Alligator mississippiensis: one gene and its partners. The protein of the gene in region 4 interacts with the protein of the main gene of each other region in a pairwise test. Links are inferred from orthologs where the notes say so. Each region holds a gene or a part of one and is shown on either strand. Other genes may lie near its edges.

Region 1 (8,122 bases), on a different chromosome or scaffold from region 4:
AAACTACTGCAAAACCGTTTCAGGCTGGACATAAGGAAGAACTTCTTTACTGTCCAAGCCCCCAAGGTCTGGAATAGCCTGCCATCAGAGGTGGTTCAAGCACCTACATTGGACACCTTCAAGAGAAATTTGGATGCTTATCTTGCTGGGATCCTATGACCCCAGCTGACTTCCTGCCCCTCGGGCAGGGGGCTGGACTTGATGCTCTTCCAAGGTCCCTTCCAGCCCTAACGTCGATGAAATCTATTCCAGAAGACTCCCCAAGCTTGCATGTAGGAGACAGCAAGTAACTTCATGTATGGACAAGTCCTATGGAAGAAATAAAAGGTTACATTTTACAAGGGTGATTAGTCCTCATCATTTCAAAACTTTGACTGATTGACAGTCGCAGTCAGGAGGGAATCCCTCTGTTTTAGAGCTGTGCAATTGGATGGATGCATTTTGCAATGTAAAGAGCTGGAAGATTCACGGACTAATGGTACTGTAGTAAAAATGTGGATTTTGTTCGTTCTTGGAAAAGTGTATTTTTTCACTCTTCCATAGCTCATATATATAAATGGGAGAGTGAAACAACATGCTTTTCCAAGAGTGTACCATATGCTTTCTGTATACAATTGTACACAATTGTACTTTCCATATATTGTACAGCCTCTGGCTTCTTTACTTTTCATTCCATCTAGGAAGAGCACACACCAACTGCTGAACTTCCTCAGCCTGACAAAGGGTTTTTGAACCTGAAAGCTTGCTTAAAAATTGTTTTCCAACTATTTAAGTTGGTCTAATAAAAGATATCAGATTCACCCAAAGAACCTTGTCTGCTAATATACTTTCCAAAAGTAAACACAATCTCCATTTTTTTCAACAAAGAACAACAGCAAAAATGGATAATATTTGATTCTGGAAACAACTGTGGCCATGGTCAGAGAAATATTTTTCAAAAGTGCCTAGGTCACATTTTCCAAAATAACCAAGGCTCTTGAAGTCAGCCTAGTGAATACATTTAGACACCTAGATTTGTAGATGGGCACTAAATGGCACTTTAAAAAACACCTGCTCCCCAGATCCTCCCAGGTATTATTTATTATTTTATTTGGCAGACAAGGTTCTTTGGGTGAATCTGATATCCTTTATTAGACCAACTATTAAATAGTTGGAAACTATTTAAGTTGGTCTAATAAAAGCTATCAGATTCACCCAAAGAACCTGGTCTGCCTATGTCCGTAGACCAACACGGCTACAACCTACACCCTTATTCTACTTAAGCATTTATCACTCCTTGATTTCAGCTAGCGGATCTTAGGGGCCCAAACATTTGGAAGATCTCGGTTGAGTCATCTGAATTCCATTGACACTAACGTGTTTTTTGGGTTGTTTTTTTTTGTAATTTCCACTTGGCATCTATGTGGATCTTTATGTCTTTTATAAATCTAGCTCTGAAGGGTAGAAGTGAGACTCCAGCTTCAAATTTTTAAGGCAAAGGGGCACATAACTGAAGCAAACTATTCTCTTAAATGCACAGGTGACTTGAAAAACAGATCACAGGATTCCCTGCCTGCCCCAAAGCCTTCTATTCTGGGATCCTACAGCAATACAAGCTCATTGTCCCACCCTAGGTACCTGTGAAGAACGGAGATAACACCTTTTCCCAAGGCAGTTGGGGATAATTGAGTTAATTGCCATTAAGTGTGCATGCCTTAAGGACTGAGCCTGCTGCCTGTTTTTATGCAGAGTTAAAGCCTGGGCCAAACAGCTCCAAGATAAACTGGGCTCCGTTTTTTAGCCTAAGGTTCCTAAGTCACTTTGACACTTACAACATTGTTTCCCGTGATCTTTCGAAAGGCACAAATAGTCCTTAGGTGCACAACTCCTGTTGATTTTCATGGCGGTTTTGCTACTTTGTCCCTCAGAAAAATCCCCTCCCCAAACAGTCCTCAAGTCCAAAAATTATGAAAAGGGATCTAGGGCCCTATTCCTTTGCAGAGGTTTCTAAGCCCACTGATGTGCATACTGTAAACTACATCTGTCATCTCGTCAGAATTGGGGCCCATGTCGGTTACTTGAGTTTTGAAAGATTATAGTAGAAACTACCCAGTACTTCTGAAAATCTGTGAGATCTGAGGAAGAACATCTTGCATCTGAAAGTTTGTCTCACTTTATCCCAACTACGTAGTTTGCCCAATAAAAGATATCATCCTAAGAAAACCTTGCCTCTCGCATAATGTCTGGACCATCAGGGTTACAAAAATCACTCTTATGCTACTTTGAAAATCAGGTTATTTATCGAGGTGCCAAATATGGATGTAGGAATCAAACTTTGTGAAAATCTTGACCAACAAATACTAGATAGCACCTTTGCCTAGTTTACTGGGTTGCCACCTCTTACTGTTTTATTCTAGGATGACAAAATATTGGTCATGCCTTTTAATTCCTGCCCCTGGAAACAAAGGATTACTTGAAAATCTGATCTTTCATTTTTAAAGAGAAGTTTCTAGTTCTTGTGTTATAAAAGACTAAAAATATTAACTGATTGTACCTTAACATGTAGAAATCAAAATGAGAACCAAAAAAAAAAGAGTCCCAAATAGTTTTACAACATTTTTAGGTACTCTTATGGTATTTTGGGTCTTGAATAATGATTTTTGCTTGCATAGGGCTGGCAAGGCTGTGTTGGAATCCAAACCTTTTGAAGCAAATATATACATTTGAAATCTGCCTTCAACCTATGCTCAAGAGAAAGGTTCCTAAAAGGAAAAGATATAAAAGACTTGTGCGATTTTATACTTCTCTTTGGGTTTTTGGAGGGGGGTTTTTGCTTACTTTGTTAATATATTTAAATCAAAGGCCAACCAACTTTGAAGATAGATAGATAAAATATCTATCTATCTATCTATCTATCTATCTATCTATCTATCTATCTATCTATCTCTTGCACCTCCTATAGTTTATCTATCTATCTATCTATCTATCTATCTATCTATCTATCTATCTAATAGGGGTTTTGCTGCCATGGCAGAGCTGTGAGTGTGAAGTGTTATGCAAAAACCTGTATCTCTGCCTGTGGTTGTTACTCTTAGACACAGTGATATAACCACACCACCAAAGCACTTCAGCCCCTTGAAGCTAATGCCGACAGCCCTGTGGGGTAAGGCGGGTTTTTAAAATTAATGTTCATTCAGATGATCACAAGACGTTTGAGGGTCACACTTATGATTTTTGAAACTCTGGGGTCGCCGGTGCTAAGGCCTGCACCACCAGGACAGCAAGTCCCAGAAAGTCAGGACAATGCCGGCTAGCAGAGCTTGAGAGGGCAAATCTGAGGATCTAAATTTAGCATCTTCCTGACTGCAACTCCAGCTGAGTCATAGGACATCATTTGCTTTGTATCTGTTTCCATCTTGCCATATGGGTAAGGCTCATTAACATCCCTGGTGCCAAAGCCCAGGGTGTGTCAGCTGGAACAGAAGCAGGTCCATGGACCCTTTCTTCTTTCGGGGCTCTGCCCCAGGGGGCTGGGTCAGACCTTCCTGAGCCATGGGTGTCTGTGGGAGGACTTCAAAGTACAGATCCCCACTAGAAGGGAGGAGATAGCAGCAGCTGCATATTACCCTTCCTCCCCTCATCAGCCCTGGCAGAGCCTGTTCCACTTCCCAGGGATAGGCGGAGACTGGAAGGTTTTCCTTGGATAACTATGGTGGGCAACGGTGGGATCTCCTCCTCCTCCTCCTCCTCTCGGCTACTATGGAGAATCTTCAGGGGAAAGATACAGGCTCAGATCAGCCTGGGCCTCGTTGCAGGGCCAGGGTATCAAGCTCCTACGGAGCCAATCTGCCACGCGGTCAGTCGCGGGCACAGCCAGGACGCGCAAGGCCGGGGTGAGGACGGCTCCGGCCTCCCTGGGAATCTGCCAAGTTTATGGGATGCTCCCACAAGACACTTCATTCAGCTCAGGACTCGTGGTAGAGGCGATACCTCTTATTAGACCAGCTAGATTTTTGCAAAACAGTTTCTCGGATTGCAAGCTTTCGGGCGCAAGCACCCTTCATCGGGCGTCAGAGAAGAGGTTGGAAAAGCTCTGGATAGAGATGAAAGTTTCTTTCCTGGGTAGATGTGGAAGATCATAATCCCACAGGACACTAAAGCGGGTCAAAGCCCAGTCCCCAGGTGGGTAAGTAGGGTGGTGCGGGTGGGTTGGTAGGTGCGGGGGTGGGTGGGCATGCGTGCAGGGGTGTGCGTGGGTGTGTGCAGGTGTAGGTGTGTACTCCCGGGAATGACAGAAATCCAGCCCATCGTGGCGAACGATCCCAACTCCCTTTCTCCCGCAAGTTGGATCATCTCTGGAGCCCGACGGGCAGCTCGCACATGTCAAGCAAGCAGGATTTGGCCTTGTTCCCTCAAAGGACACCCTGCACCCATGAACCCACGCGGTTGGGAGCGATTCCAAAGATGCATCCCTTTGCCTTCGCCCTGAACCTGAGGACTGATGCTATACCCCGAATACAGCAAAGGAAGCACAGCACTTTACTGCGGACTATGCTCCTTCCACCCCGTGCTCGCACCTCCCCGCCCCTGGTTGCACGTGGGCTGGGCGTGAGCCCCGCTCCCTCCCTATCCCCGCCGCGCTCGGCCCCTTTAAGAGCCCGCGGCTGTCACAGGCGGAGGGGGCGGGTTTTTGGCTGCAGGCGGCGCCGGCAGGCGGCTGCACTGCGCCTGCGCCCGTGGCTGGGGCGGGAGCGAGGCTGCGAGAGTGCGCTCTGATTGGCCGCGCTTGCCCCCCTCGCCCCGCCCCGCCCCGCCGCTCACGTGACCCGGCGGCGGCTCCCGGCGCGGTGGACGCTGGAAACAAGATGGCGGCGGAGCTGGTGGAGGCGAAAGTGAGTGAGCGCCCCCCCTCCCCCCCCTCTCCCACGGGCGGCGGCGGCGGCCCGGGGCTGGGCCGGGAGCGGGGCGGCGGGGCCCGGCTCCGCCCCAGCGCGCCCGGACCCTCCCCCGGCAGCCGGCCGTGCCCCGGGGTCCTGCCCGGCCGCGCCCCCGCGGGCCGCACCTCGCCCGCCGCTCCCGGGGGACCCCCGCGCAGCCCGGGACCTCCCGCCCCGGCCCCCGCTCCTTCCCTCCTCCCTCTGCCCCGCCGCCTGCCCCTGGGGTCGCCCCGGCCCTCCCTCCCCCTCCCTCGGCTCGCGGGGCTGCGAGGGGCACCGGCCCCAAGCGATGGCGGGCAGCGTCCTCCGCTGGAAAGGCTTTTGGCGCAAGTTGCGAGGAGCTGTCCAAATACCTCCCGGCGCACAAATTCACAGCCGAACACTCCCGCTCCGCGGATGGTTTTGCTGAGGTCCGCGTCGAAGGCCGGGGAAGCTTTCGGGGATGAGCGTGCGGCGCCGGACGGTGTCGAGGGTCCCGGCGACCTTTGCATTTCAATGGAGGGGCTTTCAAAACGCGTCTAGTTTTCCAGAGCATCCCGTATATATAGTCTTGTGTGTATATATATAAGGGATGCTCTGTCTCGTATATAGCACCCAGCTCTTCTTTGTGGTCCAGCCCCACTGTGCAATACCCTGGGGTGTCTGAAGTGGGTGAACGCACCCGGGGATGAGCTCGAAGGCAAAGCTTCCTGTCAAATCGCCGCTCCTACCCGGCGACGGCCGAAGGTGCTTGGCGTACGGCCGGGTTAGGCTGGAAGGAAGGAATTCGCCTGCCCGGGGCAGCTGAGGGTTCGCGGCGCTGCCTGAGACGTGGCAGGATTGAAAAGTGGCAAAAGGATTGAAGGACGGATGCCGGTGGTTTGATCCCGCTGTTCTTCTGATGGGAGGCACCGTGGACACGTTGGTCATCGAAGGTGCGCGGGGGTGACGTGTGAGCCAAGCCGTCTTTCCTGCCCAGATGATCTTGTGAGGTCTCTTCCAGCCCTAAACTTGTGTGAATCTGTGGGCTTGGCAGACTGGAACTTGCCATCTTCTGCGCCCCTCGCCCACACGACCTCCTAGTTTATGGGAAAGCCTGCATCTGCATTGATATTGAAATAACCTCGTTAGCTAACGAAACCTGTATTTGTACCCGCTCCTTGATGAGTGAGTGACCCAAGCGTCTAGTGATTTGTTTTTCTCTGTGCCTAAATGTTTTGGGTTTTTTTTATTGGTCAAAAATCATGGTTGTGTTTTTTAAGACTTGAAACGCTTCTAAATATAAACTGCGTAAATGTAAACTGTTTTATGCTCCTGATGCCCCAAGTGATCTGAAGGCAAGAACAGTAAGTGCAGCAATAGCTTTTTTTGGAGGTGTTTTTGACTCTCTTGCAGTAGACATCTCACAGTCTTTAACGTTTCTTTATCTTAACTCTGCGGGGTGGCAAAGTCCTATTTTTTTCCATGCTGCAGACGAAGAACAGAAGCACAGAGACCAAATGACTCATCCCGAGCTACACAGCAGCTCTGTAGTGAAGCAGGGAAATGAACCCAGGTTTCCCAAGTCTTAAGACAAGTGTTCAAGCAACTGAACTTTCTCCAAAGCCCTTTCCCCCTTGCCAGAAGAAATTCCAGAACATCTCGGCTACCCGGCGTCTCAGTCCAGCCAGTGAGTTTGAGTTCTGTGTCCTCTTCAGTGAACCAGGAAGTTAGAGGCTTTCATAGTAAACTGAGAAAAATAAAATAATGTTAGGCCTTTCTGGGCTGAATACTACTTCCCACAAATAAACATGGCAAGTGAACGTTTTTGGTCTTACTTCATTTTTTTTAGTTTAAAATTAGTTTGTCCCTCTTCAGAGAATCACAAGAATACTGCTATCAACTGGTTTGCGTAGATTAATCTGACTTCAGATGGAAAGATCATTACTGGCTCTCCGATTTCACCTTCTGCTGTAGAATACTGTGTATAAAACACAAAGTACATTGAAGTGATAAATGTAGGTGCCCGCGAAACATTTTCAAGGCAGTTTGCATTTATCGGAAATGCACTTCATCGGTTCACCCTGAACACTTGTGACATTGTTTTTGGTAGTCAGGAGGGTCAGAATGATCAATCTCTGAATCTAAGCATTACTTTTAATTTAAAAAGCTCTTATTCTTATGCAGATAAGCTTTCCAATGTAGACAGATGCAATGTTGTCTTCCTGAATCTGTGAACAGGTATAGGCTCTCTGAACTTCCACAAGCATGAGAAGCTGAAATTGAGGAGATTGGCTAGTTTTAAATGGTCTTGAAAACCTTGGGTCTGCCTTAACTTAATGGTTTTATGGTGCTCCATTAGAACAGTAGCGAGGCAGGCACTGGGCCTGGTCATAGGGGTGGCTGGGCATGGGCCAGAGAAGCAAGTAGTCCCTTGGCATCCTTGCCCATCTGGCAATCTGATAGGCCCTGCTCTCACCCAGAGGATAAGAAGTCCTGGGTGATAAGGAAAGGAACTGTTCCCGTGGGCACAGGAAGACTGAGTAGAAAGGATTCTTTAAAAACATCAGACTGCAGTGACCAGAGACTGCTATGAAGATGAAATATTCAAACAGAGTCCAGAGAATACATCCTGGCAGAAAGAGGGAAGATGCTGAGGATGTCTAGCATCAAGACCTGGGTTTCTGACCAGAGGGTTCCCTGTGAATGTCATTGATGGCCTGGCCTGTCTTCCTACCTCCTGCTCCAAGAAAACCTCTTGAGCATCATCCTGTGGCTTGTTAGCATTTCAGTTCTAAAACAGGCATATGTGAGAATTCTCCTGCACATGCAGGCAGTGCTGATAACACTGGGATAGATGTGGCAGAGTCTTAAAACAGGGCGTTCTTCATACAGCCGGGGGAGCACTGTTGCTAGAGCTTCTATCTCCACTACTGACATTAACTGTTGCCTTCGCTTTAATGTAGGATGACATCAAAATACACCCAGACGCAATGGTATTTTTACAAAACGCACACAATTTTCCCAGGTGCCAGGCAGGGAATGAGAGCTATTGGGTAGGGCTAATTCCTTCTTTTGAAAGAAGGAACTAAGCCATGAATATGTATGGTGCAAAGCCACTCAGTGTCTTCCTGAGTTACTGTATAGTTGCTATTGCTTCCACTAAAATCAGCATGAGGCTACAAATGTTTGTAGTAATTTAAAGATGAGCTTGTGCCATCGCTTATCTGTATCAATAGGTTGATAAT
Region 2 (7,492 bases), on a different chromosome or scaffold from region 4:
GGCTCCTATCTACACCTAAACCTTCTCCAGTTACTGGTCACACAATTGTAGCACAGCAGAGGAAAAACTCTCACGGCCATGAGAGATCCCAATCGAGAGCTCCCGGAGGACACCCGAGGCATGTCTAGTGAATGATCCTCACACCCCTCGAATCCGGGCTGAACAGCCTGGATGCACGACTGTAGCACGATGAAAGGTTACAAGCTCCCAGCATTTCTCTTTCCAGAGGAGTCATTGTTGGTCATTTAAATAAAGGAAGGTGTCCAAACCCACTCCAGACTTTATAGGAAGAAATCGTTTCACTTCCAGTTGGCTCCTCTTTCTTTTACAATGAGAGCCAGATGGTGAAAATCTGAAGCTAACCACTGGCTAGGAAACCAGAAAGGGGTAGAGGAAGTGGACAAGGGAATTCAGAAGAATTCAGGGTCCAAAAGACACTCTGAAACCTGGGAGACCATTCAGGACTCTCCAAACCTTAGAGAATCCACAACCTAGTGCTAAGCTACATCTATTTTTCAGTGATTTATGTGCAGGAGGAGTACGGCATGAGATGCCAGGCATGTTCCACCCGCCTCCCCCTCTGCATATGCTGTTTTGCAGTATATCTTATTTGCTAGCTACAAGCCTGATCTGCAGATTTATGCATGTGCTTAACGCACGCACCCGAACAGCCCTGTTGAGTCCAGCGGTATCACCCACATGCCCAGAAACCTGGGCAGAATCAGGGCCCCTAATCAGCACATGCTATGCATCCGAGTTTGTGGACGTCGGGCCTTTGGATAACCACCTAGCCTCTGGGACGGGGGGCAAATCTCCCAGGTCCTTTACAGCAGGAATCCTGGAGGGAGCTGGAATTTTGCAGCCCTAAGTCCTGGGTTCAGGTTGATCGTGAATATTTTGACATTAACCAGACAGTCACACTGAAGTCATTAAGAGTTTTCTTGGGGGGGGGGGTGGAAATCAAGCCCCTCAGTGACTATCAAAAGGGGATGGGTCAATGCTGGGAAGACCGCAGAGGAGCACGAGCTGTAGAGAATGAGATCCCTGCTCTGGTCCTAAGCGTCCGTGTGTCGCCAGCCTTGGGGCAGGCGACTGGAGCTGGCTACATGCTAGTCTGTGGGAAACAATATCAACCGCCAGCGCGGACCCCAATCAGCTCTGGATTAGTTACCAGGGGCAATTTCATATTCCACAGTCTGGTGGGCAAAGGTGGTTACACTCTGACTCCTATAAACAAGAAAGAGAAAAAGAAGGAGTGGAGGGAGACGCTGCAGCCGAGCGTCAGGCAGGGCGACCACATCGCACGCCGCGCCCCGGCCAGAGCCTGCCCCGGCTCGGCGGGGAGCCACGTCCCCGCTCCCCGTGGGGGGAGTGCAGCTCGACCCCCCAGCGGGGCTGCCCCTTGCTGCCTCCCCAGCATCGTCCTCACACTGCTGCAACCCCTGCTCCCCCCAGCCCCAGCCCCCCGCCCAGCTCTCAGCCCTACCCGAGATGGCAGATCCCCCCAGCCCTGGGGACGGGCACCCTGCCTGTCCTCCTGCCTCCACCGCACCGTCCCCTGACCCAACCCCTGGGCTGCCCCGGCTCCACTGCTCTCAACCAGCCTCGTACGTACGGCTGCGTGCCCCTCCCCGCCCCTGCCATGCCCTGCCCTAACCCCCGCGGGCCGCTGCGGCCCCCCAGCACCTGCCTGCGCGCACCCCCACACCTGCCCCTGACCCCCCCCACCCCACCTCACCACCTCCTCCCCCAACCCCTCCCCCACACTTCCACCCCCATCACGGCTCTCCCCAATGCCGGCCCCTCCCCCACCAAGCCCCCCATCACAGATCTCCACAGCCCCCCTCCCCGTCATGGCCCCCCCACCCTCAGTCCACCATGACTCCCCCCCCACCCCGGGGGTGTGGGTGTGGGTGTGTGGCGGGGGGAGGGGGGGGCGCTACCTTCAGCTCGGCCGCCTCCGCCATCTTGAGACATCGTCGCCGAGCGGCGCGCGCCAGGGACCGGGCAAAACTCCGCGCCCGGCGGCAGCCGCAGAGCGGGGGGGTGGGGAGGGGCGGGGCGGGGCGGGGCGCGAGCTGGGGGCGGGGCCCGGGCCCAGGGAGCGGCGCTAAACTCCGCACCGCGCGCCCCGCCGCACGCAGCACCGCCAGCCCCGGGCAGTGGATACGCGCGTCCGGGGGGTGACGAGTATTAGAGACCCCCCCCCCACCCAGTCACAGTCCTGAGTATTAGATACTCCTAGACCTGGGTATTAGAGACCCCCGCAGCCCTGGGTAGTAACAAGAGTATTAAAGACGCCCCTCCCATTCCTGAGTATTAGCAGGGGTATCAGAGACCCCAGCCCTGAGTATTAACAAGAGTATTAGAGACCCCAGCCCTGGGTATTAATGGTACTGGAGACCCCCAGTCCTGGGTATTAGCAGGGGGTAGAGACCCCAGCCCTCAGCATTAGCAGGGTATTAGGTACCTCCAACTCTGAGTACGAGCAGGGGCATGAGAGACCCCCCAACCCACACATGAGCTGCCATTAAGATCAAACCTTAGCATGAACCAGGAGCAGCCCCAGTCTCGCTGCTGCCGCCCCCAGCCCTGCCCTGACCCGAGCATCGGGTACCAGCACCCCCACCCGTGACTTCTTACCAGGGACAAGTGCCCAGTGATTAGCCCTAAGGACCCGGCTGTCCCCATCCCTTCCAGCCCTTGCTGCCTCACCTGGTTTCGCCCACGGGCAAAACAAGCCAGAAGGAATTTAAAATGTGCACGTGTCAAAAGGAAACAGCTAAGTGGTCTCTGGGCTATCCAAGGAGCCCTCCGGCGTGCGTGCCGCGTCCTCCCCAGCCCCAGGTGCGACGGTGGTGAGCACGGCAGGCCGTACCGCGCTTGGATCTGGGCCGCTGGCTCCCCGGAGGTGCGGACACCCAAAGGCAGTGGCCGTTGCTGTGAGTGCCGGGTGAGATGGGGGTTCCCGGGAGCAGCGGGGTAGAGATGCCCAGCAGAGAAAGTTTGATGAAGCCCCCAACCCATCAGATACACGTTGCATTGCTCCGATTGGGGTCCCCGCCAGCGTCTCTAAGAGAAACAAAAACCGCGGAGTCAAAGGAAAAGCAGCGTCTACGCAGACCACACCTCTGTACAAATGTGGTCCAGACGTTTCTAACCATTCTCTGGGGAGGGAAACAATAAAAGCACTGAAATCAGTGACCGCAGGGACAGTCGGCAGGTCCCCGTTTGATCAAGATCAGCCCAAGCTGGTCTATTAGACACGCAGCATAATCCCCCCACGAGCAGGATCAGAGGGAGGTTGAAGCCAACAGGTTACTTGTCCCAAACAGCATCTGGCATTAAAATGCAGCCATAAGGTACAGCAAATACTGCGCTGGCTACGGTTTCAGGCCATCTGGGATCCATCTTGCAGCCGAACACACGGTAGAAGCGCTGTCTGGAGGCTGCCACGTGCTCTCCGTCCGGCTAAAAGCATTGCCGAGTCGCTGGTGGCAGAGAGCACGGGATCTCGTAGCACTAAATGACTTGAGAGTTGCCATTATTCCTAGATAGCGGCTGCTGCCATGCCAGTCCTGAGTAGACACTTGGAGTATTAATTACTTTCAGCTTTAGGTATTGATTCCTATTAACCAGGAACACTAGTAGAGCACTTGGACACAATGTTACTACTAGTTAATGGCACTTGAGTATTAACGGGCCAAGTAGCTGCCAGCAGGCTGGAGTTAATATTCTAGGCCTCAAAGACTATGGAGGCATCTGGATTAGCAAAACTACTGGCTTCCACCCCCGAACTGATGGTTGATAGCTGCTGCTAGCACAGTCAAGCATAGTTAGCAAGTGCCCAGCCTCTCAAATGCCAGGACCCTGAAAGAGAAAGAAAAGAAGGTAGGAAGGGAAGAAGAAGGGGGAGGAAGGGTGGGATACAGAGGGTATTAGCAAGGGTAGCAGCTGGGGGCCTTGTTCATTCTCTCATCTTTCTTGTTAGAGCTCATAGCAAATAGGGGCTATGCTCGTCACAGGGAGATGCTATCTGCAGTTAGCAATACATGCTGCTAGTATGTATTAGCACAAATAGCCTTTCTAATCTTAGCTATGTTACTTCGGCAGTGATGCTAGTTGGAAAGCCATGGTGTTGTGCTCATTGGTTGAAGTACAGCACAACCTACCTGCCCCACAAAGACAAGGACCTGCTTTGCAAGGTGCTGTACGTACAAAACGGCCTCTCTCCCAAGAAGCTTACAATATGAAGAGCCCTGGAGTGGGAGGGGAAACTGAGGCTCAGAAGGGGTTGTGATACACAGGTCCGACACAGAGGCAGGTATGCCCAGTGCTTCCAGTCCACTGTCCAGTCCATGCTGGTTCCCAGAAACAGTGCTTGCCATCAGCACTGACGCTCACCACACGGAAGCAGGAAAGGTCAATCTTGCAGCCGGAGACCTCTCTCCTGAGTTGATGTGAATCTGCCAGGGTTTGCAAGGTGCTGTTTGAGACAAGGTTTGCAGCCATCTACTTTCTCTCCCCAAAGCTGGTTTCCTTCCTCCTCCAGCCCATTCACTCAAGAGTCCATGTCTTCATAGTCTGGGTCAAGAAGACCCTGCATCCTCTGCTCACCCCAGTCTTGCCATGCCTCAGTTTACCTCTCTGGGGAACAGAGCTCACACCTCATTGTTGGCAGCTTGAATTATTTGGTGTTTGCACCTCTAACAGAAACTCAGCGTGCTACTGTCACTGGCCAATGGATGGAAACGTGATGCCCGAAGGAATCCAAAACAGCAGGCAAATAAGAAGCACCGAACATGAATCTTTGTTAAAAAATCCTGTGGTTTTAAGACTAATTGCACAGGGTTTGGGACCCTGGAGGTGACAGCTGCATATAAAGACTGCGCACTTTACTTCTGTGGGTGCGAACAAGGGCATAAGGACAATAATGATTATTTCAGAACAGGCTTGGACTGTCTTTAGTTTTAAATGCCTTTACTCCAGATTGTCCACAGGCCCCTTTGAAGATGTTAGGAATAATTTCCCCACTTCTTCTCAGCTTAACAGTGTTCAGCCATGGGCTGTTTCCCACTGCCTGTTCTGAATGGGAATCAATCAGCAGGCTTAGCGCTGGATGAGACCGCGGATCATAGCACCTGACCTTTGCTGTGCTACCGACTTGCTAAGGGACCTTTGGTGAGTCACTTCCCCGCTCTCCTGGGTTTGAACACTAGGCATGATTACACCAGTAGAAGCGATGGGTGGGGGGATGATGTGAACCAATGCACCAGTGTAAGGACCCAGAAGCTGGAGTAAAGCTACCCTGGGAAAAATCTGCTGTAAAACTACCCCCATATATGTTATGCCAGTGTAGTGGGGCATGCATCTGCTTCCATCCGTACACGGTTGGGAAGGTAAAACCCAGAGCACTGCGATTTCTCTCTGCTCCCTAACTGAGCGGACAACAAAAGCCTGCACACTCCTCCTTTTCTCTATGGAAACAGTCGCTTGTGCGGTGCATTGTGGGGCGATGGACAAACTGCCTGCTGCCAGCATCCCTCACTCAGCTTGCCATGGGGCCCAGGAGCAGCAGACGGGCTGGGGGTGCAGGTGGGGGATCCAGCCCCACCAGCACAGGCTGCCTTGTCCTCCCATGCCCAGCTTTGGGGAGACAGTGAGCACCTCGCTGGTGATGCCCATCCTGCCGTTGCCATCCAGACACTTGGCACCAGGAGGCAACCAGGCAGGAACCCGCCTGTGGTCCGGGGCCCAGCTCCAAGCTGGCTGGCAGCCCCTGCATCAGGGCATGAAGCAGAAAACTGGCAGCAGAGGGATGAGCTGAACCCGGAGAGGCTAACCCCCAGCACCAACACATCCAAACACTGAACCAGGATAAGCTCACCCAGTAAACCACAGCTCGAGCTGAATCACTGTGACCCATCCTATGGCAGTACCAGGAACCCCTGATGCTAGGTGCTGCACAGATCTGAGATGCAGAGGCAGTCTCTGCCCCTGGGACATCCGAACTGGTGCAACTCTGTTTTATGCTGGGGTGATGCCAGGCTCTTAATGCAATTGTTTCCTTGCTATAGGCCACCATGCATATCATAGCACTACCCAGGACGGGGCATAGGGAGCCCCTTCTCCGCTCTCAGCAGTGATCAGGGAAGGTGTCCTATACCACCCACCCCGGGCTGATGACAACGACCGTGAATTTCACAAGTAGAAGGCCATGAGGTCTGTCTGGAGTACCCCCGAGGGAAATCAAAATGTCCAAAGAGGTGAATGCAGTTTTGCAGCACTTTAATGACTATGTTAGACATGAAAGGGAAAGACCCAGGGCCAGCTCCAGTGCTGGGGAAGACCTGTCAAGTCCAGCCTGACTCTGGGGCAGTGAGGCTGATTCAGCCCAGCAGAGAAGATTTGGGCTTTTGTTTCTTTTCCAGATTATTTCTTAGTGGATTTAAGGCAGCATCTGGAGACCCTCAGAAGCAAGATTGGGCCCCCCTGGGTGGTGGGCATGTAAAAAAAACACACATGGCCAGAAAAAATCCCCCCACAGGACCCACACTTGACATAGACAAGATACACAGAGGGAAACTGAGGCCCAGAGAGGCACAGGACATGGCTTCGGGCACACTGCGAGGGCAAGAAGAGCCAGGTGTCCTGGGTCCCTGTCCCCCCCCACGCTGCCAGGCTGTCTTAGCAGCTGTTATCATGATGGCAGTTCACATGGCAGGGAGCAGACCCTGTGACATCTCAGGTCTTGTAGATGTCTCTTGGCTAGATCCCCGGTGCCCTGGGAGGCAGAGATCAAAGCAAACCCAGAGGCGAGCAATCGCTGCTTCAGTATCCTAGGGGTACAAGTCTCTTTCCACATGGGGTGAGAGTCCTGATCCTGAGACACGAGCCAGATCCTTGCGCAAGATCATTGCTTCCAGGACGCAGGCCCAACCCGCAGCTGCCATGGGAGGGTTGCAACCCAGCGCCTTCCCACGTCGCTCAGCATCGAGGGGTATTGCGAGTTCGACAGCTGGTGGCCACAGGCAAGCTGTGCTGCAGGGACCGGGGGAGGCTGCAGCGGGAACTGTCGACAGGGAGAGACAGGGTATGGGTCGCACTGTCCAGGACCGCAGGCAAGACAGACCCAGCGCACGCAGTGAGAACGATGCTCCGGTCGGACGAGATGGGATCGAAGTCGGCTTATTTAGCGCAGGGCGATTTGGAGCATGGACTAGGCCCCTGGGGCAGCACGGAGCAAGGGGAGAGAGTGCTCCCTACCGAGCCGCCCGAGGAATTCAGTGCTTCACCTTGGCTTTTCCCATTTTTGCCACTGAGCGGATGCTGCCAGTTTGCTCAGCGAAGGAAACCTGCACTCACCAGCCACCCTCTCACTTTAAAAGCCATTGGCCTGGTCTGCAAGCCCCTGGCTTTGCACCCCAAGCTGCTGTGACCACCCCTGCTCCCTCCAGCATTGCAAGGGTCTCAGCATGAGTGGGAGGACATC
Region 3 (8,149 bases), on a different chromosome or scaffold from region 4:
GCCTCTCAACCTTCTCTTGCGGAGGCTGAAAAGGTCCAGTTTCTCTAGTCTCTCCTCGTAGGGCTTGGTCTGCAGGCCCTTAACCATACGAGTGGCCCTTCTCTGGACTCTCTCCAGGTTATCCGCATCCTTCTTGAAGTGTGGCGCCCAGAACTGCACGCAGTACTCCAACTGCGGTCTGACCAGCAGCCGATAGAGGGGAAGTATCACCTCCTTGGACCTATTTCGTCATCCATCTGCTGATGCACGATAAAGTGTCATTGGCTTTTTTTTTTTTCTCCTGCAGCTCCCCCACAGAGGCAGAGGCAGGCACAGCCAGAGGAGCCACGGGAGAACCAGCAGTCACCTCACTGTGCCTGCCTCTCCCCGGCCAATCCAAATCTCTGAAACAGATTTGGCCAAATCAAAACAGAACAGTGATCCAAAACACCTAAATGAATCGCTGTCCCCCAAAACAGCCCAATCAGCTACCTCTGACCCAGCTTCTGTACATAGGGGCCAAGCAGCTGATGGTAGCAGGCAGAAAGGAGGTGGAAGGAAGTCAAATACTGCCACCACACAGTTCTGCTGATTCTTAAACTGGATTCATTGATCCCAACAAGCTGCAACTGGAGCTCAGCAACTTTCTGCGTCAGCTCTTGTGGAACAGAATTGGACTGGCTGGAATCCGGAAAGGATCTCCAGAAAGACCCCACTTACTGCTGGGAGGCACAGTAGTCCTGCCTGTCCTATTCTGCTGTGGCTCTGGGGAAGCAGCAGCATGCTTGGCAGCCATATAAAGTCTCTTTGCAGGCTGTATCCAGTACATAGGCCATAGGTTGCTGACCCTCAACCTAGTGAGTTTTCAGAGAAGTCAGCACTCCATAGTGTAAGGGCTACTCTGATCTCAATCCTCGTTCTTCCCTTCCCTGCCACTGGCTGCAGCTCCACTCCAGCCCCCACCCCACAATCACATCTTTAAAACCATCCCTCCCACACTGCTGACCCATGTCCATTTCTTTGAAGCCTCTGCATTTGAGTCAGTCAACAGCTCCTCCACACTAGCTAGACACACCAAGAGCAGCACAGAAATACAGCTGCTCTGTTTTCAGTTCCTGCACTGGTGCCAGAGCAACTAAGAGCAGTAACTGCAGGGAAAGTCCTGTTAAACCGTTGCAGCCCTGGGCCGTAGCACACACAGTACACATGGTCTCTCAGGCAATTCAGCTGCCACATGATACCAAGTCTCTGCTAACTGAATGAAAACTGAGATTTGTATCCTGTTCCACAGACACCTCTCCTAGCACAGCAAACATCACATTCCTGCTACAAAGGCAACTCCCTCTGTCCAATTTTCAGTTGGGGATGAATATATCTAGATACAGAAAGGGACAGAGACTAATTCTGGTACCCTAGTCCTAAACCTTTTGGATACAGTAGGCTATAAATCATAGCAAATAAATAAACAAACTACAATCTAGTTAAGCCCCTTGCCTAACTGCTTAGACATCTAGAAGTCCATAAGCGCCTAAATTCTTTGCTAGCCTTTGCCAGCAACACCCCCCATGCTGCCCAGATGCCTTCTAAGTCTAAAGCTGACATCCTATGGACAAGGCTGAGTAAGATTCATGCCTAAGTCCAGCCTGGATTCACAAATTAGGTTTACTGGAGGAGGCATGCTCCAAGCACCACATCTAACAAGCTGGGAGCATTACATCAGACATTTAAAAAATGTGGCTGCCAGGGGAAGAGGTGGTAGTGGTGGTGCCACCACCTGGGATATGGAAAATCTGTGCTCTCATCAGCCTGATCAGATTCAAAACCATGCCTCCCACTTCCCAATACACAAACAAACCTAAAAACAGACAGTGTAAGCCAAGACATTCAGAAGTGCACCCTAATTACTAAGTGCAGAGCATGCTGGCTCTTGCTCCCTGTTCTTAGTCTTTCATTCCTTGCTATACATCTTCAGCAAGATTACTCCTACCCTGCTTAGCTCTGTCTGATCACTGTGAAACACTAGCAAAGATAAGCAACCTACAGCCCACAAGCTGAATCTGGCCCATGGAGTGGGGCACTGGGGGCAGGGAAGCTTTGGTGGTGCTGTGTTGGCTGGCCAGGCACTTTGCACATACTATGCCAAGGTGAGGCAGCAGAGAGAAGTGGCAGCTGGGTTGTAACACTTCAATCAGAGCTGGGTCATTTCACCCTGGCACCAGAAAAGGCTGCTAACCCCCACTCATATGGAGAATGTTAGGAGCCCCCTCAGCCAGAAGAGGACACAGAAAGCATTTTCCAGGCATATTCTTTACCTACTAGACTATTACATGAAACACAAAGTGTGACCACTTCCATGTCCTCCTTCCCCCATGTCTTAAAGAGCACAAATACTCCCACGTAAAGGAATGACTTGAAGCCTAGTCCAGCGGTTCCCAAACTCTGACAGGTTGCGCATCACCCATTTAAAATGATACAACCTTAAGTACCACCAGCAATTTTTTGTCACATAAAGTAATTATAATAGATCTGTTAACGCGTACCACTGACAGGCTGTTAGCATATCACAGATTGGAAACCACTAGCCTAGTCTATGCTACAAAGCTTTACAGGCAGATGTCCACACCCAAACCTCCTCTGCAGCAGCAGAACCAGCAGAATGAGCCCACCTCTGCTGGGCACGCTAAGGCTTCTGATGCCATCAGGTACACGGGGACCCCTCCACCAGCAAATTTCCTACAGCTGGTGCCGCCCAGGTTACACTTTAGGCTCACACAGCAGAGCTACTACATGGAGCCACGCAAGCCGCCAGAAAACCAAGGACGTTTAACGCTGGCAGAAGTATTGGGTGCAGAAGCAGCCTATTGTAAACAGGGGCTCAGACTGACCTTCTCCTGCATGCACGAGATCCAGGGCTGCAACTCACCCAAGCACAGGCTGTGGGGGAAGGGTCGGGAGATTCCAAGCCCAGACTTCTCCCTCCCTCCCTGATCATCAGCCTAAAGCAGGAAGGACCTGACCACTGCTGTGACTCTCCCTGATACTCCCCGCCCCCACCCGCCTGCTGGAAACTTCCACCCGCACCTGGGAGGCTGGTGTACGGAAGGCGGCACCACCAGGGGCCCCCACGGAGCGGGGCGGGCAGTAGGGCCCGAACCGCCGAAGCCGGGCTCCTCCCGGGGGCGCCGGGTGGGGAGGGAAGGAGGAAGGAACAACGCGGCCTGCCCCGCCCTGCCCCGTGCGCAGACAAAGGACGAGGCCGCCACCCCGCGCCAGGCCCAGGCACTCACCGCGCCGCCGCCGCCCCGCGCCCCACCCGGGGCAGCCCCGCGCCCGTCGCCGCCCTCAGGCGCCGCCCGCGCGCGGTTCGTGGCGCCCGGCCCGACCCGCAGGCGGCGGCGGCCCAGGCAGCGTCGCGCGTCGCAGCCGCAGCGCAGTGGGTCGCACATGGATGATGCCCCCCCCGCCGCCCGGGCCGGCCCGGGACAGCGGTGCGGGGACTGCCGGGAACGGAAGGGGAGAGCCGCGCTCTCCTCCCCCGCCCCCAGGGAGGAGGTGAGGGGGCACGCTGCGCCGGTGACGCCGCGCGGCAGCCATCTTGACTGCGGGCAGAACAATGCCACCCCAACCTCGACTTAGTCTGTGCCCGCACTAAATATGGCGGCGCTATAGCTCTCCCCCCCCCCGGGCTTGACGGTCGCCATAGTGACCCCGTGTCGCCCCGCCCGCGGGAAGGCGCCGCCCGAGCGCTGGGACCATGGCCCCGCTCGGCCCGCGGCAGCTGGAGCGCGTCTACACCGTGGTACGGGCCGGGAGGGCGGCGTGGGGGGCGGGCCCCGGGGCGCGGCCTGACGCGTGTGGTCCTCCCGCAGGTGCTGGCGGTGCTGGTGCTGCTGTCCTGGGGCTTCGTCATCTACGCCACGCGCCGCGCAGCGCAGGGCCGCCTGCAGCGCGACTCCTCTCTGCCCTGAGCATGGCCGGGCGCCGGGCCCGCGCCCAGCCGTGACCCGTGGGCAGGAGGGAGGGGCAGCTGCAGACGGATGCCCCGCGCCTCCCCGCGGAGACCTGCAGCCTCCCTCCCAGGCCGCCCGGGAGAGCACAGCCCTGCACTGATGCCACCGTGAGCAAGCGCTGCCCCGCGGTAGGCAGGCGACTCGACGGTGGCAGCTGTTTCCCACCCGTGTGCGAGGCAGCCCGCCTGCGGCAGCTTTCCCCCGTTCAAACCAGCCGTCGCGTCAGTTCTTCCCTGGGGGCCTGAGACACAGTCAAAAGCTGCCCTTTGGGGAGAAGCAGGTTTGAAAGGCCAGGCCTGGACTTTGGCTGCACCCAGAGCAGCCGGCAGGATGACAGCCAGAGCGGATCGGGTGCTGGGGCGGCTGAGGGATCCAAGACATGTGCTCCTGAACAGCAAAGTACTCTGAAAACGGGATAGTTTCCTAACGGTTCATCAAAATTAAGGGGAAAAGTTAATGCAGCAGAATTGGGTTCAGTTTAGTCATTAGGTAAACTTGTCCCTCTTGTGTTCTTCAGTGCATTTCACCATTCCTATTCACAAAGCATTTCAGCTACTTTGTCACTGGTGCAAACTATAAGCCGTGAATTTCCCACAGTCACCACATACAGAGGTGCAATGTAGTTTGCTCTCCATAAATCTTTGGCGTATCAAACTGACCGCCACCTTGCGAACACATTGCAGATTTAACTGAAGTGCTCTCGTGAGGGAACCAGCTTAAGGCATGTGACAAGCAGCAGCCAGGCCTAATTCCAGCTTGATGCCAAGCATTTGAATAGAGAAACAATGAGCGGTAAGGCATATCGAAGCACCACATTGAGCAGGAAAGCAGACGCCATACGAGAAATAGCTAAAGGTAAATCAAAAGCCCAAGTATGTAAAGAATTTGGTGTGCCACGTACCACACTGAATGGCTGGCTGCAAAACCAGGAAAAGATTTTGGATGCCGTTGACCAAGCAATGTTTCGTCCAGATCGAAAGAGAATGCGTACAGCGTTAAATGGCGATGTAGAGGCTTGCCTGGTGCAGTGGTTACGACAAGCCTGTGCAAACAACGTTCCTATTAACGGGCCCTTGCTAGCCTGCAAGGCTGTTCAGTTTGCCAGTCAGCTGGGCATCTCCGATTTTAATTGCAATGAAGGATGGGTGGAAAGATTCAAGGCACGCCATGCTATTTCACTGAAGCGAGCCTGCGGCGAGGGCAAGACAATCCCTGTTGGGGGCATCCAATTGTGGAAAAACACAACCTTGCTTTCTATCCTTCGTGAATATGATGCTAAGAACATTTACAATGCTGACGAGACGGGCCTGTTTTACAAAATGCTACCAAATAAAACTCTGGCTTTTAGAGACAAGAGGTGCATTGATGGTGAGCATAGCAAACAGCGCCTAACCATACTGCTGATGGCAAATATGGATGGAAGTGATAAAAGGAAACCATTGGTGATTGGTAAATCAAAGAACCCATGTTGTTTCAAAAATGTGAAGAGTCTCCCTGTGTATTACACTGCAAATAAGAAGGCTTGGATGGTTGGTGCTGTCTTCGAAGAGTTTGTGCGAGATTTTGATGCAGAGATGCACACTCAGAAAAGAAGAGTGGCACTCATTGTGGATAACTGTCCAGCTCATCCAGCAAGCATTAGTGGCTTGAAGGCTGTTCAGGTTGTCTTCTTACCTCCTAATACCACGTCACACAGCCAACCCATGGATAGTGGTGTGATTAAAACCTTCAAGGCTCACTATCGTCGTTTGCTGATGAGCAAGATCTTGTTAGCCATGGATGCTAAGGAGTGCTTTAAGCCAGATGTTTTGATGGCAGTTCAGCTCATAAAACAAGCTTGGAATTTGGTGCAGCAAAGCACAATTGCCAGCTGTTTTTGTCATGCCGGATTTGTCAAAGAGCATCATGTACCACCAGAAGCAGCTAACTTTGAAGCACTCTACTCATCTAACATGAATGAACTGCGCTCACAGCTTCAGAGTTTAGGCATCTGGCCATCAACTCTCACAGCAGATGATTATATCAATTTTGATTCCTCTCTCTGTGTGGCAGAACAGTGCTCTGATGAGGATATTGTTGCAGCAGTGCAGAGCAAAAGAGATGATGCAAGTGATGACAGTGAAGTGAGTGATGAAGAAATCCAGATGCCCTCTATACCACTTGTCAAGCCAGCTGATGCTCGCAAAGCATTGGATACTCTTCAGCTTTTCTTGGCTCAACAAGACATAGATGATCAACTGTTCCACTTTGCAGAATTATCTTCTATTTTGGCAATGAGTGCATGTAAAAGCACAAAGCAAAAGTGTTTGACTGATTTTACTCCACTGTAATCATTTGATTATTATATAGCAAACACGCTGAATTTTTGTAATAAGACATTTGTACATTAAGCATTTCTGTATCATTTTTTTCCTTCACTATGTCTGAAGTTAGTCTTTTATTATGTCACTATGGCATGCAAAATGCAGTAGGTAATGGTGACTAATTATCAGTAGTTACTGTTTCACTTGCTGTGATTGTCATTCATGGATAACTAGTCATTATTGTTAAGTCACTCCTCTTGAAGTGATTAAGTGTTTGTCTGGTGCATGTGTTTTGCTGCCAATTCAAACTATTAAAACTACCATAATTGTGTCAAAGCTTTACCACGTAGATTGTTTAGCAGAAAAGCTGAAAACACTTAGTATTTTTTAACTCAAAACATAAAAAGTTCAACTTTTTTGTTAGCCCGACAAGAACTCCGAACAAAGATTCCTATTAAAAGTTTTTCATTATCTTACTTTACCAGTTTGTCCCTATAAGCAGGTTCCTGAAATTACTATCTACTATATGCACTGGTGAGTTGAGAGAACAACAGCCTTTTCTATAATAAACATACCTAGAAAGAAATAAGATGACACGTTAATCTCACGGAAGTGGACTTTATTGTACAGTTCATCCACATATATGTAACGCACTTGCATAAGGACAAAGCCAGTGCTTATCATATCACATTCATTCTTTCAGTGATGACCACTAATTTCTTCTGCCAGTGGTGGGACTACTTCTCCTGTCTCTAGAATTGTGTCACCCTAATGAAATGAAAAAAGATCACGATGAATATTTGTCAAGGGTCTGATCACGCATTTCTAAATTACAAACACTAGAAAAAAAGTAAACATTATACTGGGTCAGTTCTAGATGGATTCTCTTCAAATAAATTTGAATCCTTTGCCCACATTTTCTTTAACTAAACATCGACAAGTAGTTTCTCATGACTTTACATGCAAACAATATTGTGCATTTCCCTCCATATCACACGCAGACACTCTTCCCCTTTGCAGAGGAAAGTCGTTTTGTTATTAGTTTGAAGTCAGGCAGAAGATAAGTAAGTTGCACTTTATAGACAGACTAAATCAGAGATGCATAGCATACTCTTTCATAAGCAGCAGACTTACTTCACCAGATGCTACAATGGAGTATCTGATGAACTGATCCTGCTGCTTGTGAAAGCTTGTTACGCAGCTCTGATTTAGCTAGTCTATAAAGTGAAAATCTACCCTGCCTTCTGCCGTTCTTCCCTTTTGCTGTGCAAGCACGCTAACCTAACCACACATTAAAAAGGGCATCTTTTTAGAAATGGAACTCATTCTAGGCCCTGGGACTACACAGTCTTGAGTAAGTCCTGCTTACACTTCATTGATCTATTAGATTTCAATATATTCTCTAAACGTGACCAAAAGCACTCTACAGCCCCAGGTGTGCCCCCATATCAGATGACAGCCTCTCAAACTCTCTAAGTGCCCCTTAGCAAAACCTTTTCATAGTATTTTTTTCAGGTTTCATGGCTTTTACACATTCCAAAGGGTGCTACGGAATCAGTACTCTATGATTCCATACCAAGCTCATCTGTATCCTAAAGAATGGGTAACAGGAAGTGAAGTGGGAGCTTGTGCTTATAAAAAGAGTGAAAATGCTCCAGCTACCGTGATTTGTTTGCCTTGAATAGAAAGGAAAACCTTCATAATGTAAAGCTTTGTGGAGAAATCCAAGAAGCAGTCAACATGGTGCTCATAGGAACAGTCAGTGATAAGCAAGGATCCTGGTTTTCTGTTTAAAAATCACAAATTCTCTGATAAAAATGCACTCTCTGATTGAAAAACCCCAAATCCATGATTAAA
Region 4 (8,007 bases):
TTATGTTTAAAACTGTTCTAGATGGAAAGTTGTGGTTCCAGTGGATATTTATTAAATATAGAGAGAGCAATGCCAGGTATGCACAAGAGGGTGATAAAATGCTGCAGTAGTATCTGTGCTAGCAGTATCTAGCATCGTCCCTAGAAACAGGATGAAAAAAAAATTTGGGGGGGAGGGGAAAATCACTTTTTTGTGATTTTTTATTCAAAAGTATACCTTCAATTATAGTTTTTTCTTTAGTGCAGATTCAGAAGATGATCTTTATATTTTTATATTAGTTTTATTAAAACACAGTAACCTCTTTGACTAATTCTCCAAATATAACTAAAGTGCCTAAGGAGGACTGTGAGTTAAATCTTATTGTTTTCAGTTAAGAAACTGGGTCAACAGGATATTTTTAAGAAACAACTAGTTCATATAGTTAAATTTTTTTTTTTTTTTTGAAGAATACTGGATATTAATTCAAGATGGAATGAACCGAAGTCATATGATTTCAAACCCTTTTCCAACTGAAACAGTAACGTAACAGAAGTTAGTGGTTATTCAAGGTTTAACTGCACAGAAGACGGACACTTCTCTGGTTTGAAGAGGTGCACCTGCCTACATCCCACTTGGGAGTTTACATTAGAGAATCACTATGGTGCTTTGAAGAGAGCACACTGTCTTTAGTTTAATACTATCTGTAACCAAAAGATCTCTATAATAATAAGGACAGGTGTTTGTCAGCTGACCTCCAGGGCCTACACTGCAAACCATGATCTGTCAGACCAAAATGATTTCTACATCACATTCAAATACATGCTTTGGCTGATTTGGCAGATTCTCCGTTTTCCCTATTCTTGCAAAGCACTATGTGCTGTCATGGAATCACAGGCTTACTTCACCTGTTTCATACGTCTGTCTCAGAAAAAAGCAGTATTTAAGGACTTGTTTTAGAAGCTAAAATGACAAGAGAAGAGCTGGGGAAACTCTTTTAGATAGTTACTTTGCTATTTAAAAATCAATAACAAAGAATATAGAAAGGAACTGTTACTTCTTAAAAGTGTATGGACAACATGCATTCCATTTAAATATTTTTGCCTCAGTAAACTCATTTTGCATACAAAGAACTATTATTTATTACATATTTGAACTTGTGGGAAAAAGAGAAGGAATGCATTGATTCCCAAAATAACTATACAGGCTTTCTGGAGACTTTATGCTTCTGTGTTCTTCTTTAACTTAGACTACTCTTATTACAGGGCAAAGAGGAATTCCTTGGAGTCAGTGATTTCTCTTTCATTAGCTAATGTATTCAGGAGTGGGTACAAGCGTAGACAATGATTTTATTTTTGTTACATCACCTTATTTTATATCCATATGCATGCTGTTTGTTATATGTTATAAACCTGCATGCAGGCGTTATCTTGTTGCTTGCTTTTTACTTATATAGTCATAGCCAATAGATAATGAGACGTTGCCTCCACTTGGTAAGCAAACTAATAAGAATAAGAACTACAGAGATATGTTAACATTAAAAAAATACAACTGTGTATAGCAATTTAGGACTGTCATACAAATAACCTCATCCACACGAACACAGTGGAGTAATAGTAACAGTATGATACAAATGATAGGCGCTATACTATATTCCTGCCTTCGCACTGAACGCAGCCTGTTTCAAGTTGTGTTTTGAAATAAGGCGTCTGAGTTAACACCTTTATCTCTGGTGACTGTGTGAAACCCTTAAGGAGATCCTGAAACATGCAACCCATTCCCTTCAACTCTGGTTTCAATTTTTACGCTTCTTGTAACCTTTCCCTACAACGCGAGAAAGAAAACAGAGTAAATACATTAAATTTGTTTCACAACAGATGCTTAGGTTGTTTAATATTTCAGATGCCTATTCCTGCTAGTCCTGTCTGCACATTTGTCAAAAAAAATTTTTTTTAAATGTAAGCTTGCACGCGAATGTTTGCCAGCAGCCTGGAGCAGACAAGTCGATGAACCTGCCTAGACCCAAAGAACAGAAAGTGGAAAGAACCGCTGCTAAAAAAAAAGTCACCCCCCCTTGTCATATGGAGCAGCCTAAAGCAGGGCTGCTCCTCTCCCACCTACCTGCACCTTGAGAGTCCTGGGATCTCAAACTGTGGTGGATCCCTTTCCCAGCAGATGGACTGAATGCAGCTGACTGCTCATTCTTGCCCCCACCCCCTCGTCACTCCTTGCCACTGACGAGCTGGGGGCCAACGCGTCAAGCCAAGTTTGCGGCGGTCCAAGGCTCTCCCCCAGCACTCGCAGGGGCCAAGCTGGGACAACTTGGGAGGCACCGGGCAGGACCTCCCCCCCGGCCACTGAGCAAAGGCTTCGCTCCCAAAGCGGCCGGTGGGAACAAAGCATCGCCAGCTCCTTTTGTAATATATATTTTAGGAGGGGCAAAGAAAAAACACAAAAAAAATCCCCCGCGGCGCAGGGCAGCCGGAGGACGAGGGATGCTAGAAGGAGGCTTTGCCACGGGGCCGCCGGCGGCAAATTGACGGCTGCCCCGGGACCACCCCGCTGCCCGGCCCGAGCCCTCCCCGACAACTTTGCCAAACTTTGGAGGCAAGTCGCGCTTCCCCCCGGCCCGGCGCCTCCGGCCCGGCAGGTGCGGGATACCCCCGGCCCCGGCCCCGGCAAGGGCCACTCACTCATGGGAGCGCAGCGCAGCGCGGGCCAGGCTGGGCGACACCGTCGGCTTCCCGGGCGCCGGCGAACTTAATTGCACTGAAGTTCAAGTTGGCTTCGCACCCATCCGCAGTGGGCGTTTAAAGGAAGGCGAGCGGGGGGGGTGTGGGGGAGGGAGGAGGAGGAAGGGGGGGAGCCGCACGCGCCCGCCCGCCCCCGCTGCTACACCGCCCGCCGCGCAGGAGGAGCCGGCGGCGGCCCGGCTGGATGCGGCCCCGGGGCGGGGGGCCGGGAGCCCCGGGCGCGGGGGGCTCAGCGCCTCGCCTCGCCTCGCCTCTCCCCCTGGCGGAGGTTGCCTGCGCTGGAGCCGGAGCCGGAGCCGCCGCCGCCGCCGCCGCCGCTCTCCTCCCTCGGCGCGCGGCCGCAGCCAGAGCCGGGCTCGGCCGGAGCAGCAGCAGCAGGACGGTTGGTGCCCTCCCGCCCGCCCGTCTGTCTGTCTGTCTGTCTGTCCCCTCCCGCCGGCTTCCTGCCCGGCGTGTTTTGGGGGCTGACTTGGGGAGAGCGGCGGGTGTGCGCGGCTCTGCCTCTCCCCCCCTCCCTCCCCGTGAAGTAGGAAGTCAGGTGAGAGACACACACAATCCCCTCCCAGCCCCGGCGAGGTGGGTAGGAGCTAATCACTGTTGTTGTTGGGCTGGTGGCGGTGGGGTTTCATGCTATTATTCCCCCTTCCCTTCCCTTCCCTTCCCTTCCCGCCCTGCTCGCTCCCAGCAGCGCCCCAGCCCCGCCGCTTCTCTCTGCTCCCCCCCTTCCGCGGCACTTTCTCCCTCCCTCCGGCGCACTTTCTTTCAATATTTATCCACCACATGCTCGGCTGTCAGCTGCTTCCCCCCTCCCAACCCCGGGCGGGAGGAGCGAGCGGAACAGGCTCCGAAAGGGCCATGACAAAGGTTATCGATACTGGGAGGATCCGGGCCGGGGCCGGGAAACTTGTGCGGGAAGCAGCCGCCCGGGGAAGGCTCGCAGACCCGCGTGGATGAACCCGACAGCTGGTAGCCCCCTGCTTCCTTTGGGGGCGGGGGCATGGGTCTCGGATTGTGTTTCTGTTTGCTTGCTCGTGGGTTTTGTTGTTTTGGGGGTTTGTTTGGTTTTTTTCCTCTCCTTGCAAAGATTTCACTTGTTAGGCTCTTGCCACGAGCTGTACCCCTGCAACTCTAAGCCCGCTGAAGCAATTTTTCAGTATTTTTTAGAAGCCACTTTTCATTCTCCCCATCTCTTAAGTGGTGTTTGAGCTTGCACAGAGTGCCCTGAAATAACTTTTGGTGCCTGAATGCTCTCATCCATGCAACTGCTGCCTGGAGAGAGACTTTTCTTCCCCCACCACCTTCCTTCCTTTCTTAGCTGATGCACCGTTTGTAAGTCAAGTTCCCGGAAAGTGAAGCTGGCAGTGAATACTGGCTTTCCTGAAAGCTGAAACATGTCTCTTTTACTCTAGAAGCTTGTGAAAAGAGCATGCTGGGGGACTCTGACCCTCAAATCTACTCGCTTCCTTTATTTTTACTTGGTTAACAATTTGATCTTTCAGCTCAGAAACGAACAGAACTATGCCATCTCTGAAATAGGCAGACAAGGGTCTTTGGGTAGATGCGCAATCTTTTATTAGACCAACTAAAGAGAAATTGCTCTTGGCATGCTTTTGGGCACAAACGCCCTTCTTCGGGCATAGGGAAAGTCTCCAAAATGACAGAGACCATCGTGTTTACACAGAGGTATCTTTCCTTAACAAGTCCCTACTACACTGACCTGTTACCCGTCTTGCTTATTGCTAGGAGAAGCTGTAAGCTTGTAACACCATTAGTAAATAATCATTAATCGGGAGAGAACACGGAGCCCAAAGATTACACAATAGTAGTAATAATTAATAAAATTGACCTTGCCAGCATCTCGTAGTGACTATTGGAGATTCCCATTCATATAGGACATAAACAAGGGCTGAAGTTATCCCCTTATCTTCACCTTAAATGCAAGATCTGTTCCCCCCCCCTGTTTTTTACCTTGGAAATTTGGCTTTTGAAATCTTTTGTTACATTACAGGATAATATAAAGAGAGCCAAAGCAGAGAGCATTTTTGCACTTCTACAGACTCATTCAGATGCTTCTTGGAGATGATTGTCCGATAAGCGCTCCATGTGTGGCACATTTTCTCTTTATTAAACATCTCCTTCACTTATGTTAACCACTGTCAGAGGATCCAAATGATGATAGCGTTTCATGTCTTCAGAATACTGGTAATCAAATAATGAATCCATGTAACTTCCCGTTGACCTATCCACCAAATGCACGTGAAAAAGTGGAACAGAAAGCGTAAACTATTTGTCTGCGGCCATAGATTGAGTCAGATGCAGAGATTAGAATTGAGGAGTTGACTGATTCCCAGTTTAGATTTGATTTCCTCCTGAGCATTATCTTAAGAGAGAGTTGTGATATACACATTTTCTTGTTATTTTAGTAACAGAGGTGTGTGTGTGTGTGTGTGTGTGTGAAAACGAGGATCTTTAGAGCTTGTGTCCTTGTACACGATATTGATAACTATGTAAAGTTAAACTGGGTGGCTTTTGCAACAGACCCCCAACTCTGCAGTCAGACAGTTTGCTTTTGAAACAAGAAATCACTTACCAACATTTACATCTCTGCTGTAATGGTAAAGACTTGCTCCAAGATGTTTTCACTTTCATGAGCAGGTATGTCCAAGTATATCTTGGCTACATATAGCTGTGAAAGCACTTGCAGATGAACATGTCAGAAGATCATTGTTACCTTACTTTTTGTGTAAGATTTTAAGTACTTTTCATTCTAGGTGTCTTCAACATACAGAAAGGATTAATGCAATGATTTTCCACAGGCGTGCTGTGAAATCCTTTCAAGGGTGCTGTGGGGAACCCTGCAGCTTTAGCTTTGTTAGGCGCAAACATAATTCACAAGATAAACCTCAGGATTGCAAATAGGAATCCAATGGGAGCTGTTCTGCTCCAAGTTCTTTGTAGCAGAAGAATTGCTGTATTATTTTTCTAGTCACAAAACGGAGCGAAAACTAAGAGCTGACATTTTTCTGAGGGGTACTTTGAGTCTAAAAAGCTTGAGAACCACTGAGATGGTGATTCTCTTGCTTGACAAAAAAAAAATGAGGTGGGAAAAGCAGTATCTGATGCTTACTAGGATTTGTTCTGAAAGATTATCTTTCATATCATCATTTCAAACTGAACTTTTTGTTAATTATTGCAGTGGTTCCCAAAATGTGGTCTGCAGATGACTGGTGGTTTGTAGGCCAAGATAAGTAACTGGTACAAGGATTGAACTGCTGTTCAGCTTTAATTAAAAGGTTGAAAAGGATGCCTGTTGGTTTGCAAGAAATGTTGAAATTTTTAACATTTGAAACTCTTTGGATCAGCAGAACAGGTTATGTGAACCCTTGAATTATCCTAAACAATTTCTATTATCATGACAGACATATGGACCAATAAAATGTAATGGTTAGATTGTCAGCTTGAGTATAACTTTAGTACAAATAGGTTTGCAAAATCATCCTGTGGTCTGTAAGAGGTATGTACTAATTTGACCTGTATAGCAGGTTAGAGATCCTTCAGAAGCAACCTAATCATCTGATGCTGAAGATATTATGATATTTATAATATGGTAAATAATGAAAAACAGAAGACTAACACTATATAATATATTTGAATATTATTCTTTGCAATATTAGGCAGCAACCTTTACAGAGTCTTGTCATTCACATCAATGGAGCAAGAGGTACGTTGCATTCTCTTTATCTGTGGCATGTCATCGAGGCTGTGCCATTACACTGCTATATTATGATATGACAGAGCACAGATGGCATGCCTAAAAAGCAGGTGTACGATATAACTTTCATTTCACTGACATGTTGCTTTTATACATGCTGCAAAAGGAAATTTTAGTGTCCATTTTCCAATGTTCTCCTGCCAAGTGTCCTGCAAAAACTACCAGAATATTCTACTTGTCTTGCTCATCCCTGAAGTCTGGAATTTCAAGACAGCACAAATCAGATGTTCATATATATTTATCAGTTTATTCATGTTGACAGCCACATTTTATCTTTTGAAATTTGAAACTGCTGATTTGAGGGAAAGGGGGTGCAGTTCTGGTTTAAATAATACTAATGGTATTGGAGCAAGATTATCTGTCACAGATGAAAATGGCTTATGAATCATAGTAATCCATTCATTAGTTTATGGATTCAGAGTTCTCTGGGGACTGTCAGAAGTCCACAATACCCCTGAGTGTTATGGGATTTTTTTTCATGAAAGATGTGTATAAATATGTGTATTCAAAAAGTTTCCTATTGATCACCTATCTGACGGAGACTAAGTAGAAATTATTGAAGTCAGAAGGAACTTAACGTAAAATATTTTTCTTTAATTCTATTTTTCAGAAGGGGTAATTCATAATAGCATGCGTTTGCCAAAGTACTTTAGGTCAATCTGTACCCCGTCTTAGTACTCTCTTATGACAAATCTGAGGACATACAGATATAGGCATGCCATTTTAGATGTGATAAACCAGTAGATCCTCAGTTAAGTGTGTACAGGCTGCTGTCAGGTATTTAGATGCACGTATAAATAAAGCCGGTGAGAAAATGAGAGTCGAATCTGGGCATGCGCATTCATGCAGTCCTCTCCCTGCACCTCCACTTCTTCCCCAGCCTCTGAGGTGTGAAATGAGACAGTCAAATGAGCCAGAAGAGGTACCATATTTTCTCACATACAACATGCACCTCCTCCCAAACTCAGCCCCTTAAAATTGGGGCTCATGTTTTAAGCAGCTGAGCTGTTTCCTTTGCTGGAAAAGGAGCCTGCGTGGAGAGACACTGCATGCCATGCAGCTGCCAAGATGGCTGCAGTTTGTGTGTTTGGCAAACTGAACGGGTGGAGTCTTGTGTTAACCCTCTCACAGCTGTAGCTAGTGCCTGAAGCAGCAAATGAGCTGCTGGTAGTATTTTAATGAGGCTCGTGATGTGGAAAGAACACTTTATTTATAGGAACTTATTAAAAAACCCAACAAACTACTTACCATAAAGAAGTAATAGCCTTGCTACTGCCTTTTGCAAGGGCCTGGGACCTAACTTTGTGTGACCTAAAGTAAGTCCTTCTGGAAATGTATGCTGCTGGCAGATGTTTAAAAAAAAAAAAAATCCCAAAGCAGAAAAAAAACATGTTACTGGAAGCAGTGTGTTACTACAACCTGGCTCCACAACGTCTGTGTAGATTGGGTGCTTCAGCAGGGCTTTTTGGCCCCGCTGAAGCACCCAATCTATACAGATGTTGGACG

The links.
Region 1: the proteins of SATB1 (region 4) and PIAS4 interact in a two-hybrid assay, tested with the Homo sapiens proteins (2 studies listed by BioGRID and IntAct). The link is inferred for Alligator mississippiensis from reciprocal best matches to the Homo sapiens genes SATB1 and PIAS4.
Region 2: the proteins of SATB1 (region 4) and PIAS3 interact in a two-hybrid assay, tested with the Homo sapiens proteins (2 studies listed by BioGRID and IntAct). The link is inferred for Alligator mississippiensis from reciprocal best matches to the Homo sapiens genes SATB1 and PIAS3.
Region 3: the proteins of SATB1 (region 4) and TOPORS interact in a two-hybrid assay, tested with the Homo sapiens proteins (2 studies listed by BioGRID and IntAct). The link is inferred for Alligator mississippiensis from reciprocal best matches to the Homo sapiens genes SATB1 and TOPORS.

What each region holds. Positions count from the first base shown.
Region 1 is NC_081839.1:5,585,550-5,593,671, reverse strand, and holds the start of PIAS4 (E3 SUMO-protein ligase PIAS4), read left to right. Parts: upstream 1-4,764; 5' UTR 4,765-4,844; coding exon 4,845-4,871; intron 4,872-8,122.
Region 2 is NC_081838.1:17,651,477-17,658,968, reverse strand, and holds the start of PIAS3 (E3 SUMO-protein ligase PIAS3), read right to left. Parts: upstream 3,043-7,492; 5' UTR 3,028-3,042; coding exon 2,716-3,027; intron 2,047-2,715; exon of another isoform or gene 1,968-2,046; coding exon of another isoform or gene 1,944-1,967; intron 1,411-1,943; exon of another isoform or gene 1,187-1,410; coding exon of another isoform or gene 1,172-1,186; intron 1-1,171. Other genes in the region: ANKRD35 (ankyrin repeat domain-containing protein 35), read right to left, coding at 6,914-7,072. UniProt on the Homo sapiens protein: Functions as an E3-type small ubiquitin-like modifier (SUMO) ligase, stabilizing the interaction between UBE2I and the substrate, and as a SUMO-tethering factor.
Region 3 is NC_081826.1:167,091,016-167,099,164, reverse strand, and holds the start of TOPORS (E3 ubiquitin-protein ligase Topors), read right to left. Parts: upstream 3,426-8,149; coding exon 3,267-3,425; intron 3,251-3,266; exon of another isoform or gene 3,061-3,250; intron 2,986-3,060; exon of another isoform or gene 2,877-2,985; coding exon of another isoform or gene 2,865-2,876; intron 1-2,864. Other genes in the region: tigger transposable element-derived protein 4, read left to right, coding at 4,775-6,319; NDUFB6 (NADH dehydrogenase [ubiquinone] 1 beta subcomplex subunit 6), read right to left, coding at 6,992-7,060. UniProt on the Homo sapiens protein: Functions as an E3 ubiquitin-protein ligase and as an E3 SUMO1-protein ligase. Probable tumor suppressor involved in cell growth, cell proliferation and apoptosis that regulates p53/TP53 stability through ubiquitin-dependent degradation.
Region 4 is NC_081828.1:151,601,141-151,609,147, reverse strand, and holds the start of SATB1 (DNA-binding protein SATB1), read right to left. Parts: upstream 3,100-8,007; 5' UTR 2,674-3,099; coding exon of another isoform or gene 2,670-2,673; intron 2,456-2,669; exon of another isoform or gene 2,098-2,455; intron 1-2,097. UniProt on the Homo sapiens protein: Crucial silencing factor contributing to the initiation of X inactivation mediated by Xist RNA that occurs during embryogenesis and in lymphoma.